Linked DNA regions of Macaca mulatta. The protein of the gene in region 1 purifies or fractionates together with the protein of each later gene. This does not show direct contact. Links are inferred from orthologs where the notes say so. Each region holds a gene or a part of one and is shown on either strand. Other genes may lie near its edges.

Region 1 (5,377 bases):
CATGGTGAGACTCTGTCTACAAAAAAAATAAAGAAGAAGAAAATTAGCCCAATGTGGTGGCACATGTCTGAGGTCCCAGCTACTTGGAAGGCTAAGGTGGGAGGACTGCTTGAGCCTGGGAGGTTGAGGATGCAGTAAGCGATACTCATACCACTGCACTCCAGTCTGTGTGACAGAGCAAGACCCTGTCTCTTAAAAAAAAAAAAAAGCCATTTTATAAAGACAGTTGGGCAATAACTATCAAATTTAAAATGCATATCACCTTTGCACTTCCAGGAATTTACCCTCCAAATATACTTATGCAAAGTAGGCAAACATAAATGGACAAGTAGTCTCATTAGATTATTGTTGGTAATATATGCATCAATAGGAGATTGTTGTATTATACACCCAATAATGTTTTTCCTTTATCAAATACATATTATGTGCCAGGCACCATGCCGTGCATTTGATGTGTTTTGTCTAATAATTCTTAAAACAACTGAAAACATATGGCAAGTACTGTTATTATCTACATTTTGCAGGTGAGGAGACTGCAGCACAGAGATTAAGTAACTTGCACAAGTTTACACAGATAGTAAAAGGCAAACTTGGTATTTAAATCCAGGTAGTCTGAGGTTAGAGTATGCTGCATTTTTGACCTCTAAAATGTACATCCTCCTTTCTACTGTTGGAGAAAGAGGATGAAGATATATATTAAATGAAAAAGTAGTTTAGAACTGAATGTCTAGGTCACTGTCATTTGTGTTTTAAATTTTTTTAAAAAGGTACAGCACACAGTAGGATACCAAAGAAACAAAACAGTGACTTATAAGGAACAAATGGATGGCCTTTCTGCTTTGACTTTCCATCTCTTTCATGGGTGTTTTAATAATAGGCATGTATTACTTGAATAATTTTTTTTTTTTTTTTGTAAGAGACAGGGTCTCGCTGTGTCACCTAGGCTGGAGTGCAGTGACATAATCATTGCTCACTGTAGCCTCTTACTCGTGGGCTCAAGCTATTCTCCTGTCTTAACCTCCAAAGTATCTGGAACTACAAGCATGTGCCACCATGCTGCACTAATTTTTTAAATTTTTGTAGAGAAGGAGTTTCACTGTGTTGCCCTGGCCGGTCTTAAAACTCTTGGGCTCAAGTGGATGCTCCCACTTGGCCTCCCAAAATGCTGAGATTACAGGTATGAGCCACTGTTCCTGGCCACTTAACATATATTTTTAACTGAAATAAATGTAGCTTACATTTGGAAAAGTTGTAATATTTAATGAAGATTAAGCTAAAATCATGAATGACAAATGGTTTATCCATCCCTGCTTACATACGGTTATGTAGGGTTTCACTTGTCCTAATATCCTACCACCAGCTCACTTCAAATTCACTTCCTCTGGGGTTCATCTCTTATCTGATCCCACTTTGAATACTTACATTTTTGTTTTTGTTTTTTGAGACAGGACAGGGTCTCACTCTGCTGCCCAGGCTGGAGTGCAGTGGCATGATCTCAGCTCACTGAAACCTCGACCTCCTGGGCTCAAGCAATCCTCCCTCTTCAGCCTCCTGAGTAGCTGGCAAGCACCACCACGCCTGGCTCATTTTTTCAATATTTTTTTGTGGAGATGGGGTTTCACCATGTTGCCTGGGCTGGTCTCAAACTCCTGAGCTCAAGAGATCTGCCCACCTTGGCCTCCCAAAGTGCTGGGATTACAGGCGTGAGCCAACGTGCCCAACCCCCAGATACTTAATGTTTTTGATTAACAAAGTACCTCATTTGTAATGTAGCCTTTTTTTTTTTTTTTTTTTTTTTTTTGGGACAGTGTCTTGCCGTGTTGCCCAGGCTGGAGTGCAGTGGCATGATCTCTACTCACTGCAACCTCTGCCTTCCAGGTTCAAGTGATTCTCCTCCCTCAGCCTCCCAAGTAGTTGGGATTACAGGCACATACCACCATGCCTGGCTAATTTTTGTATTTTTAGTAGAGACGGGGTTTCACCATGTTGGCCAGGCTGGTCTTGAACTCCTGGCCTCAAGTGATCCACCCGCCTTGGCCTCCTAAAGTGCCAGGATTACAGGCGTGAGCCACTATGCCCCACCAAAATGTAATTAGCCTTTTAAATTGCCTGAATTTTCTATTGTTTCCCAAAGGACTTGATACTGCTTACAGTAAGATAATGATGCACATCATAGGAACTGTAAACATTGAGATTACAATTATATAGCCTAATATAGTCCTACAATTGAGCAGTAAATTTAACTTAGTTTCCTGGAAGTAGGCAAAAAATAAAACATTTTAAGTTCTGTAGTTGTGGTTTGACAAAAAGACACATACGTTTTTGTTTAAAGAAACCTTTTTCTGATTCTAAATTTCGAGAAGAAATGTGTTTCATAGACCCTTTTATGCAATTTATATTGTTCTGGTTACTTCTTGTTTTGTTTTGTTTTGTTTTTGTCTACCCAACTAAATTACAAGCTTCCTTAGGACAAACTCTATTTTTCAATACTATTTTTGTTCTATCTTTGCCTAGAAAATGTGTGCTTATTATAGTTGAAATGATAAATTAAGCAACAGTTGCAACACAGCCATATTTCATGGATAATGTTACCACCAGTTTTCAAAGACTTAATTTTTGAGTAGTTTAGGAATTTATACTACTTTCATCCCTTTCAGCAGGGAATCCTTTTTGAGACAGGTCTCACTGTCACCCAGCCTAGAGTGCAGTGGCATAATCTTGACTCACTGAAGCCTCAACCTCCTGGGCTCCCGGGCTTAAGCAGTCCTCCCACCACAGCCTCTGGAGTAGCTGGGACTATAGGTGTGCACCACTATACCCAGCTGTGTTCCTTGGGGGTTTTTTTTGTTGTTTTTTTTTAAGAGATGAGGTCTTGCTATGTTGCCCAGGCTGGTCTCAAACTCCTGGACTCAAGCGATCCTCCCACATCAGCCTCCCAAAGTGCTGGGCCGATCAACAGGGAATCTTTTATGATAGCCTTGAAATAAATAAATATTTATTTATTTGTATGTAGCACTCGGTCATCTTGTAGCCCATACTTTCTAGCTGAATATGTAGTATGAAAAACTGGAAATTTGAACTTTTGTTTAATGAAAGTTAAATATTTTTAAATAGGGCTGATAGCTTTCAACTACCTTTTCCTTTCTCTTAGGCCAAGTTATCAAGGCATGGGACATTGGGGTGGCTACCATGAAGAAAGGAGAGATATGCCATTTACTGTGCAAACCAGAATATGCATATGGCTCAGCTGGCAGTCTCCCTAAAATTCCCTCGAATGCAACTCTCTTTTTTGAGGCAAGTATGTGTGTGATGTTGCCTTGTCAGCATCTGCTCTACAATAGGAATGGCTTTGAAGCAACAGGCAGTGGGAAAAGGAGCTATAGAGAATCACATCCAACTTACTTATTTTGGAGCATGGCTTCTTGGATTGTTTCCCACAAACCCAAGGGTGCACGTGCCAGTGCTTTTTGAGAAACGTATTTCCACCACAAAAAGGTCATATCCAAATACGCAAAAGACACTACACTTAGAAATAAAGAATCTGGTCCATGGTGTGAGTGTGACATACTCAAAATTGACCAGAATGCAGGATGGAAATGTTGGCAATAAATGTTGAAATATGCCTATGTCAAGTTGCAGGGTATTTTCATATTATAAAGGTTTATATGTCACAGATCTCACTTCTCTAGAAGTGTTTGATGGTGATAAAACATTATTCAACCTGTGTTGAAATTACATATATTTGGCAAAACTTGATTTTTAAGAACTACCCCAGCTAGGTAAAATATACCTTTAATCAGTCATAGGCCACATTCATGAAATTTATGTTTACATTTTGAGAAGGGAACTCCATAAATCCAGGGTGGGAAAGTTGTGGCCTCAGACAAACTGTTCTACACCAGCACCTTGTAAAGCTCTGGGTTTTTGCCCACAGGGTAGTGTTCCTAGTATTTCCTGTCTCTGCACCGCAGTCCCTTAGGATATAGTCCTAGACATTATCATTATGTGAAATTCTTTCCAAGTATGGAAAAGTATAGTGGGTTTTTTTTTTTTTTTTTTTGCTACTTTTCCAATAATTAAGATGCATAAATGAATGTATACATTTTGAAACAGCTTTATTTTGTAAAATGAAATAATTGGTTGCCCTTGCCTTCACATATGTTAAATTGGCTTTATTTGGTCTTTTCTCATCTGAATTCCTTTTTTCTTTCTAGATTGAGCTCCTTGATTTCAAAGGAGAGGACTTATTTGAAGATGGAGGCATTATCCGGAGAACCAAACGGAAAGGAGAGGGATATTCAAATCCAAACGAAGGAGCAACAGTAGAAAGTAAGTATTAAAGTAAGAGGGAACTAGTCCTTAAAAGTTGGACCATTTATGTGGACGAAATGGAGACTTAAAAAAAATATGTTTATGGAAATGAACATATCGGCTGGGCGTGGTGACTCACGCCTTTAATCCCAGCACTTTGGGAGGTGGAGGCGGGCGGATTGCCTGAGCTCAGGAGTTTGAGACCAGCCTGGCCAGCATGGCGAAACCCCATCTCTACTAAAAATACAAAAAACTAGCCAGACGTGGTGGTGCATGCCTGTAATCCCAGCTCCTTGGGAGACTGATGCACAAGAATCACTTGAACCGGGGAGGTGGGGGTTGCAGTGAGCCAAGATGGTGCTACTGCACTCCAGCCTGGGTGACAGAGCGAGACTCTGCCTCAGAAAAAAAAAAAGTATTGAATATATCTCAAAGATAGTCTTAGCTGGGCACAGTGGCTCACGCCTGTAATTCCAGCACTTTGGGAGGCTAAGGCAGGAGGATCTCTTGAGCTTAGGAATGCGGCACCAGCCAGGGCAACATAGTGAGGCCCCATCTCTACTAAAAAGCATCAAGAGAATTAGTCAAGTGTGGTGACACATCCCTGTAGTCCCAGCTACTTGGGAGGCTGAGGTGGAAGAATCACTTGAGCTCTGGAGATCAACGCTACAGCAGAGAGCCGTGATTGTGCCATTGGCTCCGGCCTGGACAACAGCAAGATTCTGTGGGGAAAAAAAAAAAAAAAAAAGTCCGGGCGTGGTGGCTCACGCCTGTAATCCCAGCACTTTGGGAGGCCAAGGCGGGCGGATCACGAGGTCAGGAGGTCAAGACTAGCCTGCCTAACACTGGGAAAGCCGTTTCTACTAAAAGTACAAAATATTAACCAGGCATGGTGGAGGGTGCCTATAGTCCCAGCTACCCGGGAGGCTGAGGCAGGAGAATGGCGTGAACCTGGGAGGCAGAGCTTGCAGTGAGCCGAGATGGCGCCACTGCACTCCAGCCTGGGAGACAGCGAGACTCTGTCTCAAAAAAAAAAAAAAAGAATAGTTTCAGATTCAACATTTAT
Region 2 (6,156 bases), on another chromosome or scaffold:
TCTTAGAAAAAGTCACTGGTGGGAGATCCCCTCCTCCTACCCCATGGAAACCCTCTGGGCACCATCCAGAAAGCCAGCGAGGACAGGACAGCCCCGATACCCTCCTGGCCTTTCAGCAAATGCTCCACTCCAGTCCACTCAGCGGGCTGCTCCCAGAGCCCAAGGTGGGGATTAAATAAAATATGCATGAGAGATATGAACTCAAATGCCCCACCGTCTCCACGATGCAAGTCACATAGCAGAAGAAAAAAATGTAAGAGCCCTAGTGGCAAGCGCCGGCCCTCAGAAGACACGCTCAAACTCCGTCTGGTTGGTGGTGGCGGGATTGCGACTCTGGTTGGTGGACTGCTGGGTGATCTGGCTGCCCTTCCGGCGCGGTGGTGCCAGGTACTCGAACATGGACGTCAGGTGGGTGGAGAGCATGCCCTTGAGGTCAGAGGGCATGGGGTCGGACCAGAAGAAGTCATGGTTGAGGGCATCGTCGCTGTCGATGCGCTGGGCAGGGTCCAGCACCAGCAGCTTATCGATGAGGTCCAGTGCGTACGGGTCACGCACATAGGCCTTCAGCCTGTCCTTCACCTTCCGCTTCTGGCCCTTGACCAGCTCCAGCTTTTCATACAGCTCATAGTTGTCCACATTTGGCCACACCTGGGAGGGAGGGGGCGTTGACAGAGGATGAAGTCCGGCCAGGAGGTACGTGGCTTATCCCTTTGTTAAGGCCTAAAAGGACTAAAATACCTGCTCCACTTCGAGACTCCCAGACTACTACTGGAGAGAGAACTCGACCCCTCCCAAGAGAAGCAGTGCCCGCCACAGATTGGCACATACCACATGCCAGGCCCAACCCTGACATACGTCACATTTCTGGTTCACAGAAGAGAAACCCAGCGCTGACTCAGTTGTTCTGCCCAAGGCCACAGAATGGCTGATGGAACCAAGACTGGCGCATAGCCTGTGTGGCTCTCAAGGGCAGGCCCTGTCACCAAACCAGCCTCCCTTCCAGAGAGGAGCGCTCCCTCCATTCCACTCCCCACTCCTCTGCCGGGGGACCGGGACCCCGTACCTCAGGGGTGATGGAGCCGCAGAGCTGACTGATGAGGGCGAGTTGGTGCTGCTCCGTGTTGCCCTGCATGATGGGGCTGCGGGTCCACATCTCTGCCATGATGCACCCAGCACCCCACAGGTCAATGGGGGGGCCGTAGTCCCGCTCCCCTGGGAAGAAGAGCGCACCAGGAGGGCCCCTTGAGCCCGGAGGCCTCCTGAGACTCAATGCCCCAGGGCCGGCAGCTCAAGAAGCCCTGGCAGTGGGGGGGCGGGGGCCAGGTAGATGCCTGGCCCTCACCCCCCTCGGCCCGCTCGGGAGTCCTCACCGAGCAACAGCTCCGGGGGCCGGTACCAGAGTGTCACCACACGGTTGGTGTAGCGGTTGGGCTGGCTGTTCTTAGCCAGGCTGAAGGCCCGGGCCAGCCCAAAGTCTGCCAGCTTCAGGACCCCGTCACGAGTGATAAGCACGTTAGCAGCCTTCATGTCCCTATGCAGGATCTGCAAGAAGGGCAAGAGTGGCTCCTTCAGTGATATCCACCCGGTAGTGGGAGCCAAGGCCAGCCCAAGCCTGGGTCCTCCTCCCAGCTCTCGCCCCCACCTTGTTCCTGTGGATATAGTAGAGGCCGTTAAGGAGCATCTGCATCACCCTCTTGATCTCAGACAGCGTGAACTTGACCAAAACATTGCTCAACAGCCCAGCAAGGTCATGCTCGCAGAAGTCGAACACCAGGTATATACTGCCCTTGCAGCGGTTATAGGGTGAAGCTGAGGCAGGAATACAAGGAAGAAAAAGTCAAGAAAGCCACACCCAACACACTTTCCCACAACCAGTTTCTTTCTTCCTGCTCCAACCCATGGGCACCCAAGCCCTCCAGAGCATCTGTCTGTTCCTTCCTTCACTGGTCAAATATTTTCTGAGTGCCTCTTCTGGGCCAGGGCAGACCCCGAGGAAGCACCAGCTACGATGAAAGAGGACCAGAGAAAGCAGTCACCATGGGTCCATCTGAGTTAAGAGGAGGCAGTTTAGGTGGGTCTAGTTCCAACTTTACGAACAAAACCTTAGGCTACAAGTGTCATCTCCTCATAAGATCCAAACAACTTACCTTTGGTTCGACAAATCTCAATCAAGTTGACCACATTCTCATGTTTTAGAAGTTGAAGGATCTTGATCTCCCGCAAGGCGGTAATGGGGAACTGGGTGGGAGAGAGGGGAAAGTGGTCAAGAGTGAGCGCAGTACAGAGCCCAGCCCTGGGGTCTATATTGAGAGGCAAGATGGGAGACAGAGCAAGATCATGGGCTCTGAAACCAGCTGTCTCAGAAGCTCTGCCTGTAAAATGGATATAGTAGGAGCATGCACACTTCAAGGAGATGATTTGAGACAACAAACTGAAACAGCAATACTTTGCTATTAGCCACTAAATGCTCGGCGGTTTCAGCCTTCAAACTTCAGCTCTATGGCTGTTTCGTTGGCAACAAACATGACGATTCAAAAATGTCCTCGCTAAAGCACATCAGGAAAAGGAAGGTTTATGGGACGTTGTACTTGAGCTAAGATGGGGTGGAGGGACCGCTCCTTTTAAACACATTAAATAACTGAGTATTAGTCACTTTTCAAAAATTTGCATGCATATGTATCTTTCTTTAACATTAAGCAAAATTTAACACTAAAAAAAGGTGTTTAAAGGCTTCCTAACTTCGTGAACTAAAGTGCACACGATGCATGCATCAACTCCCCCTCCCGGTCTCACCCATAACTGCCTAAGAATGAAGCATTTAGTTTTAGGGTGGAGGCCAAATTCCCTGGAAATTTCTGAACTACTACGAAAAAAATTAAATCTCAACCTGAGACTCCTAGAAGCAGCAGGGTGGAAAACCGACCCGGGGTCCTGGGCAGTTAGACGGCTGGCCCGCACGCCCGATCCGTACTCACCCCCTCCTTCTCGTTTTCCATCAGCACCTTCTTCAGAGCCACCTTCTGGCCGGTCTTGCGGTGCCTGGCCTTAAACACCTCCCTGCAGGCGGAAAGGGAGACCCGAGAGCTCATCAGGCGATTTCCGCAGGGCCCGCCCCTCCCCCACTACAGGAGGAGGGGCAGCAGCAAAAAGATTCCCGGGCGGGGCTGGGGTAAGTACCCAGGGCACGCGGCTACCCCGCCACCCGGCACCCTGTCTCGTTCGGAGCTTCTGCTTCCTTCTCTCAGTCCCTTCTCCTCACTTGGGCGTCTCTTGGAGAGATCCCGTTCCCCTCACGGGCGCCTCTCTGCAGCCCCTCCCCGCCCCCACCACCGGCCTCAGGCTCCTCCCCACCAGCCGGCTCCTTCAGGCCGGGGCGGGGTGCGGCGCGGCCTAAAGACCAGTGGGCAAGCCCGGGGACAGACGGTTTCTCTACCAACTCGGGCGGGGCCCGGGGCATCCCGACGTCCGCCCTAGGGGTGCAGGCCCACGGCTCCCGGCCCCGAGGGGCCCAGCCTTACCCGAAGGTGCCTTGGCCGATCTTGGCGAGCTTCTCGTATTTGGAAACTTCATCACAAAAGGGGCACTCCACCGAGTCGTACTGCTTTGCCATGGCCGCCTCCAACGCGCCGCCGCCGCCCCCAGCCGCTGCTGCTGCCGCTCCCGCTCCGGGTCCCGCCGCCGCCGCGCTCCAGGCCCCTCCGCGGCCGCGCCACTTCCGCCTCCACGGCCACTTCCGGCCTCGCGGCGCCGACCCCGCCTCTTCCGCCCGCCGCCCGCCGCCAGGCCCCCTGGGACTTGTAGTTCCCGAGAGGCCAGGGGGAGCCGGAGCTGCAGAGGCGCCTCCGCCGCCGCCGCTGCCCCCGCCTCCGCCGCCGCCACTACTGGCGGCGGCCCCGATCGGGGGCGCGGGGAGCCGGGGCGCCGGAGCTGGGGCTCGGGGTGGCGCGTCCCGCTGCATGGGCCCGGGCCGCCGCTGCTGCCGAAGCTGCTGCCGCTCTGGCGCCCGATCCGGGGCCAGCCGCAGTGCCCTGCTCCTCCTCCTCCGACGGCGCCGCCTCCGCCGGGCTGCGCGGGGCGGCGGGCGGGGGGGCAGCCCCCGAGCCGCGGCCTGGGGGCTCCCTGGCCGGGCCCGGGCCCGGGGCGGCCGGGCGAGGGGGCGAGACGGGAAGAGCCGACTAGGAGACGGCCCGAGAGCCCGGGAGGGGGCGCGTTATAAAGGGGGAGGTGCCCGGCCTCGCCTTCCCCTCCTCCTCCGCCCGCCCCCGCCCTCCTCCCTCCCACCCTCCGCGGCCGCACCTGCCGCCGCCGCCACCGCCCGCCCGCCCGCCCGCCCGCTCGCTGTCCGCCGGCCGCCCTCGGCGCGTCACCGCCCGCGGCCCCTCCTCCGCCTTCGGAGGTGGGGCCCCGCGCTCGGCACCTGGCTGCGGGCGCCCAGCCGCGTGCCTCAGTTTACCCCCACATGCCGGCTGCCGCGGAGAGCCCCTTCCTCCCCGGCTCGGAGTGCCCCCCCAAGAGGCGAAGGCGGGAGGCGCGGAGGGAGCGTCCTCCGGCCCTGGGAGGAGAAAACGGCCCCCGCCTCCGCCTCCCCCGGTCCCCGCCACCCTCCGTTGACATGGCAACCGACGGCCGCCAGGGGGCGCGGCGGCACTGGAGGCGACGAGCAAGCAACGCCCGGGCCTTCTATCGCTGGAGCCTGGCTCTCCAGGAGGCAGGGATGGGACCCGCAGGACTCGCGCCTTCGCCGAGTCGCGCCAGAGCTGATCAGGCCCCGGGTCAATAATCGCAAAAAACAGCTACCATTTTCTCAGCACTCTTTGTGTGCTCAGGAAGTGCTGGGCGTTTCCGCCGAATCCTGAATCAACAGCCCCATAGTCAGGATCACTAACCCATTTTGCAGAAGAGGACATTGAGGCTCAGAGGTGAGGTCATTTGCCCAAGGTCACACGGCGACAAAGCTGGGTGTCTGACTGTGAAGGGGATTCTCTTGACTCAGGCTATCCGTGGTTGGGCCAGGAGGAGAGCACTGGGGAGGCTTGCTGTCCTTATGCAAGCGGGAGCTCACCACTCACCCCCCCATCTCCCTCCCCCATCGCGCCCATCCCTTCGCCTGCATCTTCCTGGCTCCAGCGGCCCCCAGATTCCCCCTCCAGCTCTGCCCAAGGACAGCCTCCGGCAAAGCCGTCTTTTCTGCCTCCTTTGCCCCGCTTCAATCTGCCCCCTCCTCTCCAGCCCTCTGCGGGTGGATCCTGAGACCTGGCCCCCCAGTCTGGCCTCTCTGTCCCCGAAGAACCTGAATGTGACATTGGAAGCTCTTTCCAGTTCACACCCCACCTCCCAGGCTGTGGCCATGCAAATCTCTCTACTGTCTCCCTAAGCCTTCCTGCTTTCAGGGCGGTTCTCCCCTGATTCCACACTCCCCTAGACTCTGGATGCCCTCTCTTCCTGCAAGAAGCCCTTGGGGTGGGCGCGGTGGCTCACGCCTGTAATCCCAGCACTTTGGGAGGCCGAGGCAGGCAGATCACAAGGTGAGGAGTTCGAGACCAGCCTGGCCAATATGTTGAAACCCCATCTCTACTAAAAATACAAAACTTAGCCGGGCGTGGTGTTGGGTGCCTGTAGTCCCAGCTACTCAGGAGGCTGAAGCAGGAGAATCGCCTGAACCCAGGAGGTGGAGGTTGCAGTAAGCCGAGGTCTTGCCACTGCACTCCAGCCTGGTGACAGAGTGAGACTCCGTCTCAAAAAAAAACCCTCGGGGTGGCTCCCAGCTCTCACCCCACACTGCTTAGCCTCAAAGCCTCCTAGGAGGAGGCTGGAATGGCTTTGATGACCTTGATGTCACAAGAGGTCCTGTTCTGGGTAAGGGCATTACCAGGGAGGGGCTGGAAAGTCAGGCTGAGGAGGAAGGAGCCTCTCCTCCTGAGAGTAGTGTAGAACCAGAGAGGGGTTTAGGCAGGGAGAGAAGTAGGGTCAGGTTCATGGGTACACTATTAGAAGCAGGAGGCTGTTAGCTAAATTGGAGGTGGGGGCCGGGCGTGGTGGCTCAAGCCTGTAATCCCAGCACTTTGGGAGGCCAAGACGGGTGGATCACGAGGTCAGGAGATTGAGACCATCCTGGCTAACACGGTGAAAACCCGTCTCTACTAAAAAATACAAAAA
Region 3 (6,143 bases), on another chromosome or scaffold:
ATCTGGATTTCGTGGCACCATCGTTCTCTGTTTTTGGTACTTAGCTCTAGGCGACAAGACTTAATTGCTATTTTGAGATCAAGTTCCTGCCAAAATAGAAAATCAGCAGAAAAAAAAAAAAATTAGGTTCTTGTGCAGATTTATTTGCTACCAAAGAAATAACCTAAAACAAAACTTTTTAGCTTTACTAATTAAATATATTTATCCACAGCTCTCTTGAAGCAACGCTTTTTTAAAAAGATAAACCATGAGACTATTACACCAATGCTTTAAAACTGACCTTCGAACACATAACAGCACACAAGGGAAAAGTGACTGAAACTGATTTTATAACAGGTCTCTTTGGAACTCTCTCTCATGTGTAATGTCAGAAAAAAAAAGATCCTGTCTCCGCAGCAAATTCCATTCAGAGCTTAATCAAGACAACTAACATGGGCCCCAGCTCCCAGCATAACTAGAATGAAGAAGGTAATTCAGGGCTTCCTGGACTCCAAACAGCAAGAGAAAGTTTTAATATAACCAAGCCTAAAGCAAAAAACTCCAATCTTAATGTATGCATTTCAAATGACATGAAGGAAAAAAATCCTACCAATGAGTGTACTTCTGTTTCCATATCTACACAATGAACCTAACATCTCTGGCCTGTGACTAGTAATTTAGCCAATTCTGACTGAAATTAAACCCATTCTGATGCACATTACAGGAAATAGCCAGATCCCATCATATTCTGGCAACACTAATAATGCAGCTCAGAAACAGCAGCCAGGGCAAAACAGGCTACACTATGTTTCTGATATCACAAAGAGAGTTCAAAAGAATTTCCAACATACGTAATCTCTGACACAAACCAGAGTTGTAATAAAGGCTGTGTATGAATAAAGAGAGGGGCCAGGACAGAAAAAAATATATTATAGGTGGGGAAGGAAGACACAGCTTGGATAGGGTAGTGTGAATTGGGGGCTGAGAGGAAAAAAAGGCTAGAGATAAGATGATACTTGGTGCATAGAGAAGAAGGAAAATAGGACAGACTACAAGCTAGCCTACCCACAGGTCTCACTCCCTTCAGTCTTCCTTTTGTTATGAGCAGGTGGCCAGTTATATCTATGTCCCATGCAGACCTTTACCACCATGGAGATGAGAATCAGGCACAGCTATGAACAGCACTGAGTCCTAAATGCTCATGTTGATGGAGCAGTAAGTTATCTATTTCAAAAATCCCACTTTGTAAGATCCTTCAACTCCTTAATTTATATTTCATCCACTCTGTGAAATTCTACCTTTTTGCAAAGAATGTTCTATGGGCAGTTTATAGATGTACAACAACAACAAAGTTATGTGCTTAAAAAGCTGGAATATTCTGGGGATAGGGTGACGGCTGTACAACGTCAATATACTTAATGCTACCTAACTGTACACTTAAAAATAAAGTGATAAATGTTGTTATGTATACTTTACCATAATAAAACAAAAAGTGATGAATTCATCCATCCCCACCCAGGGACCAAAAAAAGAAGTCACAAAAGCTGCCAGCATGCATCCTTTTTCCTTATGATCAGTCTATAGGCAGGCTTAGGTAACACAGGCAACATGCCACTGGAAGCACTTGGCTCCCACTTTTTTTTTTAGTGTGTTATATTCCCTCTGATGGTGAGAATTATTAAATTTACTACTTATCCTGCTATCATAGGATTTAATGCCTTAGTCCTTCACCTTCCATTCTCTTTCTCCAAGATTTTCTCCCACACCCTATCTAGAAACCTGGTTCACAAAACTTCCTCAGTTCTATCAGTTTCAGTTGTCATTCTAATTACCCTAAACATGCCTATTTCTCCAAAGTAGACACCTATCTCCCCTTTCTCCCACCCCAAATTATGAGCTTTCTCACTACACCCATGTTCCTTTAGATAACAAATTATTACTTTTCCTCTTGAATTCATTTCTCTATTCACAATCCAAGCCCAGGCATTTTAGTAAAATCTTAACTGTTCATCTTGTCCCACATGTTGTTCCACTCAAATTTATCCTTCACAAAACCATTTTCCTAGAACAACACTTTTAATCTTGACATTTCCTTGTTTAAGGCCAATTAATGAGGAGCATTATGATCATAGCAGCAACAACAAAGTAGCAGCAGGTGCTAACAGTTGAGGGCTTTCATGGGTCAGGTACTGTATTTAGCTTTACATACATTATTATTTTATTTAACTCTCAAACCCATGATGCATGCAAGTATTATACTATACCTATTTTATAGGGAACAAAACAAAGCCTGTATTACAGGAAGTGTTAGTCCGGGGTCTATTTACCTAAAATGTCCTTTAGGAAAGCATGAACCTCTCAAATGGCAATGCATGGTTGCGTGGATGTGCATCTGTGCATTTTTCTGGGGAAAGGGTTCACAGCTTTTATTGATTATCATTTTTTATAACAAAAAATACATGTCCCAGGCCTGACGCAGTGGCTCACGCCTATAATCCCTGCACTTTGGGAGGCTGAGACAGGTGGATCACCTGAGGTCAGGAGTTCGAGACCAGCCTGGCCAACATGGTGAAACCCTGTCTCTACTAAAAATACAAAAAATTAGCCCAGCGCGGTGGCGGGCGCCTGTAATCCCAGCTACTCAGGAGGCTGAGGCAGGAGAATCGCTTGAACCCAGGAGGAGGCTACAGTGACCCGAGATCGCGCCACTACATTCCAGCCTGGGCAACAGAGTGAGACTCCGTCTCGAAAACAAAAACTAACAAACACACAAACATGACCCAAATATTATTTTTTAAACTGCTGTTACAATGGTTAAACATTCTCTATTAAATCAAAGTAAAATTCTTGAGTCTGATGTTAACTGTCCTCCACTGACTGGAGCGCCCCCCATCTCCAATCTATTAATATCGCCTTCCGTTTGAAGCCATGATCTGCACCAACTTACCCTCATACTGTCCCGACCTGGAATACATCCCCAATTCCAAAGCCCATCCATACTTCCAAAGGTTTAACTCTGGACCCATCATGAAGCCTTCCTTGTCTACTGCAGTCCCCACTGATATCACACGGCCTCCAAGCAAGCGCGCGCACACACGGACCCAAACACACGGACGCACACATTCCAACAGGCAGTCTCCTTCAACCCTCTTCTCACACATTCGTGCTCACACATACACACTGTGACGTGCATCTGCCTCACACACCCTGACACTCTACATTCACAGAGACACACGCGCACTGTCACACTCACTAAACACCTGGTCACAGCCTGACAGTCATACCCAAGTTCCCCGCAACAGCTCTATCTATGCCCAGTACCTCAGATACAACTTTGGACACACACAGGCAGAGTATCTTTCTCTCTCATACACACACACAAGCCTACTGGCCCACAAATACTGCCCAAGGTCCCACTAACCATCTATCCCACACTGTCAGCCCTGTGTTCCACAGACGCTCAAACCCACCGCCGCTCCCTCTCGCGCCCCGCCTCACCCGATGCTGGTACAGACAGACGTTCCCGAAGCCGCCGGTGCCCAACCGCTCCCGCATCTCCCAGGGCCCGCCCGCGCCCGGCCGCAGCCCCGGGGGCCGCTCCATGGGGCGGGAGGGCAAGCGGCCTCAGGCTCCGCCGCTGTTCCAAGGCCGGTTCCGGGCCGCCGACGCTCGCGCGTCTTCCTTCTCGCGAGAATGAATGCGTCACTTCCGGTAACCGCTGCGAGAACGGCCCTTCCCTACGTTTTCCCAGGGCGCCGCCGGAGCCCTGCCGGCTAAGGGGTGGGGAAACGAACAGGTACTCGGTCCGCTCTTTAGGTCCCCTAGGTATTTTCTGGGAGGGCTGAACGGAACCACAATGTTTTTCAAGTCTTGGAAAACATAACATCTCTCCAAACCTCGCATTCCCATCAAATTCACTTTTCAAAGCAGTCCAGTCTCTCCTGTATTAAATATATATTTTTAATTAAGATGGGGTCTTGCTCCGTTGCCCAGGCTGGAGTGCAGTGGCATGATCACGGCTCACTGCTGCCTCGACCTCCCGGAATTGAGCGATCTTCCCACCTCCCGAGTAGTTGGGATTGCAGGCGCGCACCACCTCGCTTGGTTTTTTTGTTTTTTGTAGAGACATGGTCTTGCTACGTTGCCCAGGCTGGTCCCGAACTCCTGGCCTCAAGCAGTCCTCCCACCTCGGCAACCCAAAGTTCTGGGATTATAGACGTGAGCCACCACGCCCGGCAATTAGTCTTTTCTAAACTTCACATTGTCTCCACTCGTCTACACTTCACCTTTCTTCAGATCCCTGCCATCTATCCTCCAACTCCACCACCCGCTGATCCGGCACGCTAAAGACCACCAATGATTTAAAGGCTGCGGAACTGGAAAAATACTACGCCAGCAGGCCCACTAATGAATTAGCCTTACTGTTCACTGACTTCCCAATACACCTGCTCCATGATATGCCCCGTCATCCCAAATGACTCAATGATGTGACGCTATTCCGGAGTGAAGAATGTTTCTCGGGATTTCGGGAACTTTTTTCCTAGATGCCTCACAGAGCTTGCTGTCCAGCAGTCCAGTTAGGGCTCTGCCAGCACAGCAGTTCATTGTGAGAAGTGTTTCTAATGGGTGCTGCAGGGCTGCAGAGGCAAGCTTTGGGAATGCTGTTGGTGCAGCAAGTGCTTCCGGGTGGCGGATTGACATAGCATAGGACAACCAGCTTCTGGTCTTCCATTTGAGAGGCTCATACTTTCACTGTACCTGGGGAATCTCAATACTCCAAGTAAAGGAGTCAGCATGGAATCAAATTCTTGAGAAATGTGATGCTGCAACCAGAATGTTGAGCACTGCATGATACAGACCAAGTCGATGTTGTAGGTCATTAGTAACATGTGGTATGGGAGGTTCTGGTTTCTGTAAGTGCGTGGTTTCCATGGACTTGGAGATGATGGCGCCTCTGAGGACATGTCATTTAGAGCTGGGCAGACCGCACAGAGAATTGTGGTACAGATTGTTATAACAGTATGAAGCCCTCTCATTTGACGTATGTACAGCATGGCCAGTGCTAGTGTGCTCAATTTCCATAGGTGGGGCTGTAATCTCATAATTCCCACTCAAAAGAGGAAGGGATACTGAGGACCCAGGGATACTGATGATTGGGCTGACCCGGAAGTGGCCATCTTTGTGGAAACCAGGTTGGTTCCCTTTGTTAACTTTTTAAATGCCCCCATTCCCAGGGCCATGAGTAATTTGAGTTGTTTTTTGTTGTTGAGACAAGAGTTTCACTCCTGTCACCCAGGCTGGAGTGCAATGGCGTGATCTCAGCTCACTGCAACCTCTACTGCCCGGGTTTAAGCAATTCTACTGCCTCAGCCTCCCAAGTAGCTGGCATTACAGGTGCGTGCCACCATGCCTGGCTATTTTTTTCTATTTTAGTAGAGACAGGGTTTCACCATGTTGGTTAAGCTGCTCTCCAACTCCTGATCTCAGCCTCCCAAAGTGCTGTGATTACAGGCGTGAGCCACCTCGACCAGCCTTCAAATTTTTAAAAAGCCTAAGCCTGTTGACCCCAGGCTCCACAATCTTCAATTTTCTGAGTCTCAGTTTTTATTCTTTTTCATGTAAAATAGAGGTAATACCTACCTCACAGAGATTTTGTGAAGATTAAATGAAACAGTGTCTGGACTGTAAGTGCCCAATATAAAGGTAAAAATATTTTTCTTTTTGCTCCTACTATGTAGTATTCTCTTTGCTCCTTCTCCATGTAAATGTTAGATCACTATTTTCAAGCCCTCCTTAAATACTGATATTTCTGGCCAGGCGTGGTGGCTCAAGCCTATAATCCCAGCACTTTGGGAGGCCGAGACAGGCGGATCACAAGATCAGGCGATCAAGACCATCCTGGTTAACACGGTGAAACCCCGTCTCTACTAAAAATACAAAAAATTAGCCAGGCGTGGTGGTGGGCACCTGTAGTCCCAGCTACTCGGGAGGCTGAGGCAGGAGAATGGCGTAAACCCGGGAGGCGGAGCTTGCAGTGAGCTGAGATCTGGCCACTGCACTCCAGTCTGGGCAACAGAGCGAGACTCCGTCTCCAAAAAAAAAACAAAACAAAACACAAACTGATATTTCTTAGGCAATCATCTTCAGCTCAGGACTGTATTTAC

The links. The genes of interacting proteins can lie anywhere in the genome.
Region 2: the proteins of FKBP5 (region 1) and CDK9 purify together in Homo sapiens (affinity purification with mass spectrometry; 10 studies listed by BioGRID and IntAct, counting the BioPlex papers as one, with this or other methods). This does not show direct contact. The link is inferred for Macaca mulatta from reciprocal best matches to the Homo sapiens genes FKBP5 and CDK9.
Region 3: the proteins of FKBP5 (region 1) and CHUK purify together in Homo sapiens (co-immunoprecipitation; 4 studies listed by BioGRID and IntAct, with this or other methods). This does not show direct contact. The link is inferred for Macaca mulatta from reciprocal best matches to the Homo sapiens genes FKBP5 and CHUK.

What each region holds. Positions count from the first base shown.
Region 1 is NC_133409.1:146,648,619-146,653,995, forward strand, and holds part of FKBP5 (peptidyl-prolyl cis-trans isomerase FKBP5), read left to right. Parts: intron 1-3,151; coding exon 3,152-3,294; intron 3,295-4,214; coding exon 4,215-4,329; intron 4,330-5,377. UniProt on the Homo sapiens protein: Immunophilin protein with PPIase and co-chaperone activities. Component of unligated steroid receptors heterocomplexes through interaction with heat-shock protein 90 (HSP90).
Region 2 is NC_133420.1:19,919,806-19,925,961, forward strand, and holds the start of CDK9 (cyclin-dependent kinase 9), read right to left. Parts: upstream 3,659-6,156; 5' UTR 3,611-3,658; coding exon 3,519-3,610; intron 3,058-3,518; coding exon 2,976-3,057; intron 2,239-2,975; coding exon 2,148-2,238; intron 1,810-2,147; coding exon 1,643-1,809; intron 1,543-1,642; coding exon 1,371-1,542; intron 1,213-1,370; coding exon 1,064-1,212; intron 649-1,063; coding exon 283-648; 3' UTR 1-282. UniProt on the Homo sapiens protein: Protein kinase involved in the regulation of transcription.
Region 3 is NC_133414.1:112,276,557-112,282,699, forward strand, and holds the start of CHUK (inhibitor of nuclear factor kappa-B kinase subunit alpha), read right to left. Parts: upstream 3,659-6,143; 5' UTR 3,583-3,658; coding exon 3,478-3,582; intron 3,128-3,477; exon of another isoform or gene 2,978-3,127; coding exon of another isoform or gene 2,927-2,977; intron 87-2,926; coding exon 1-86.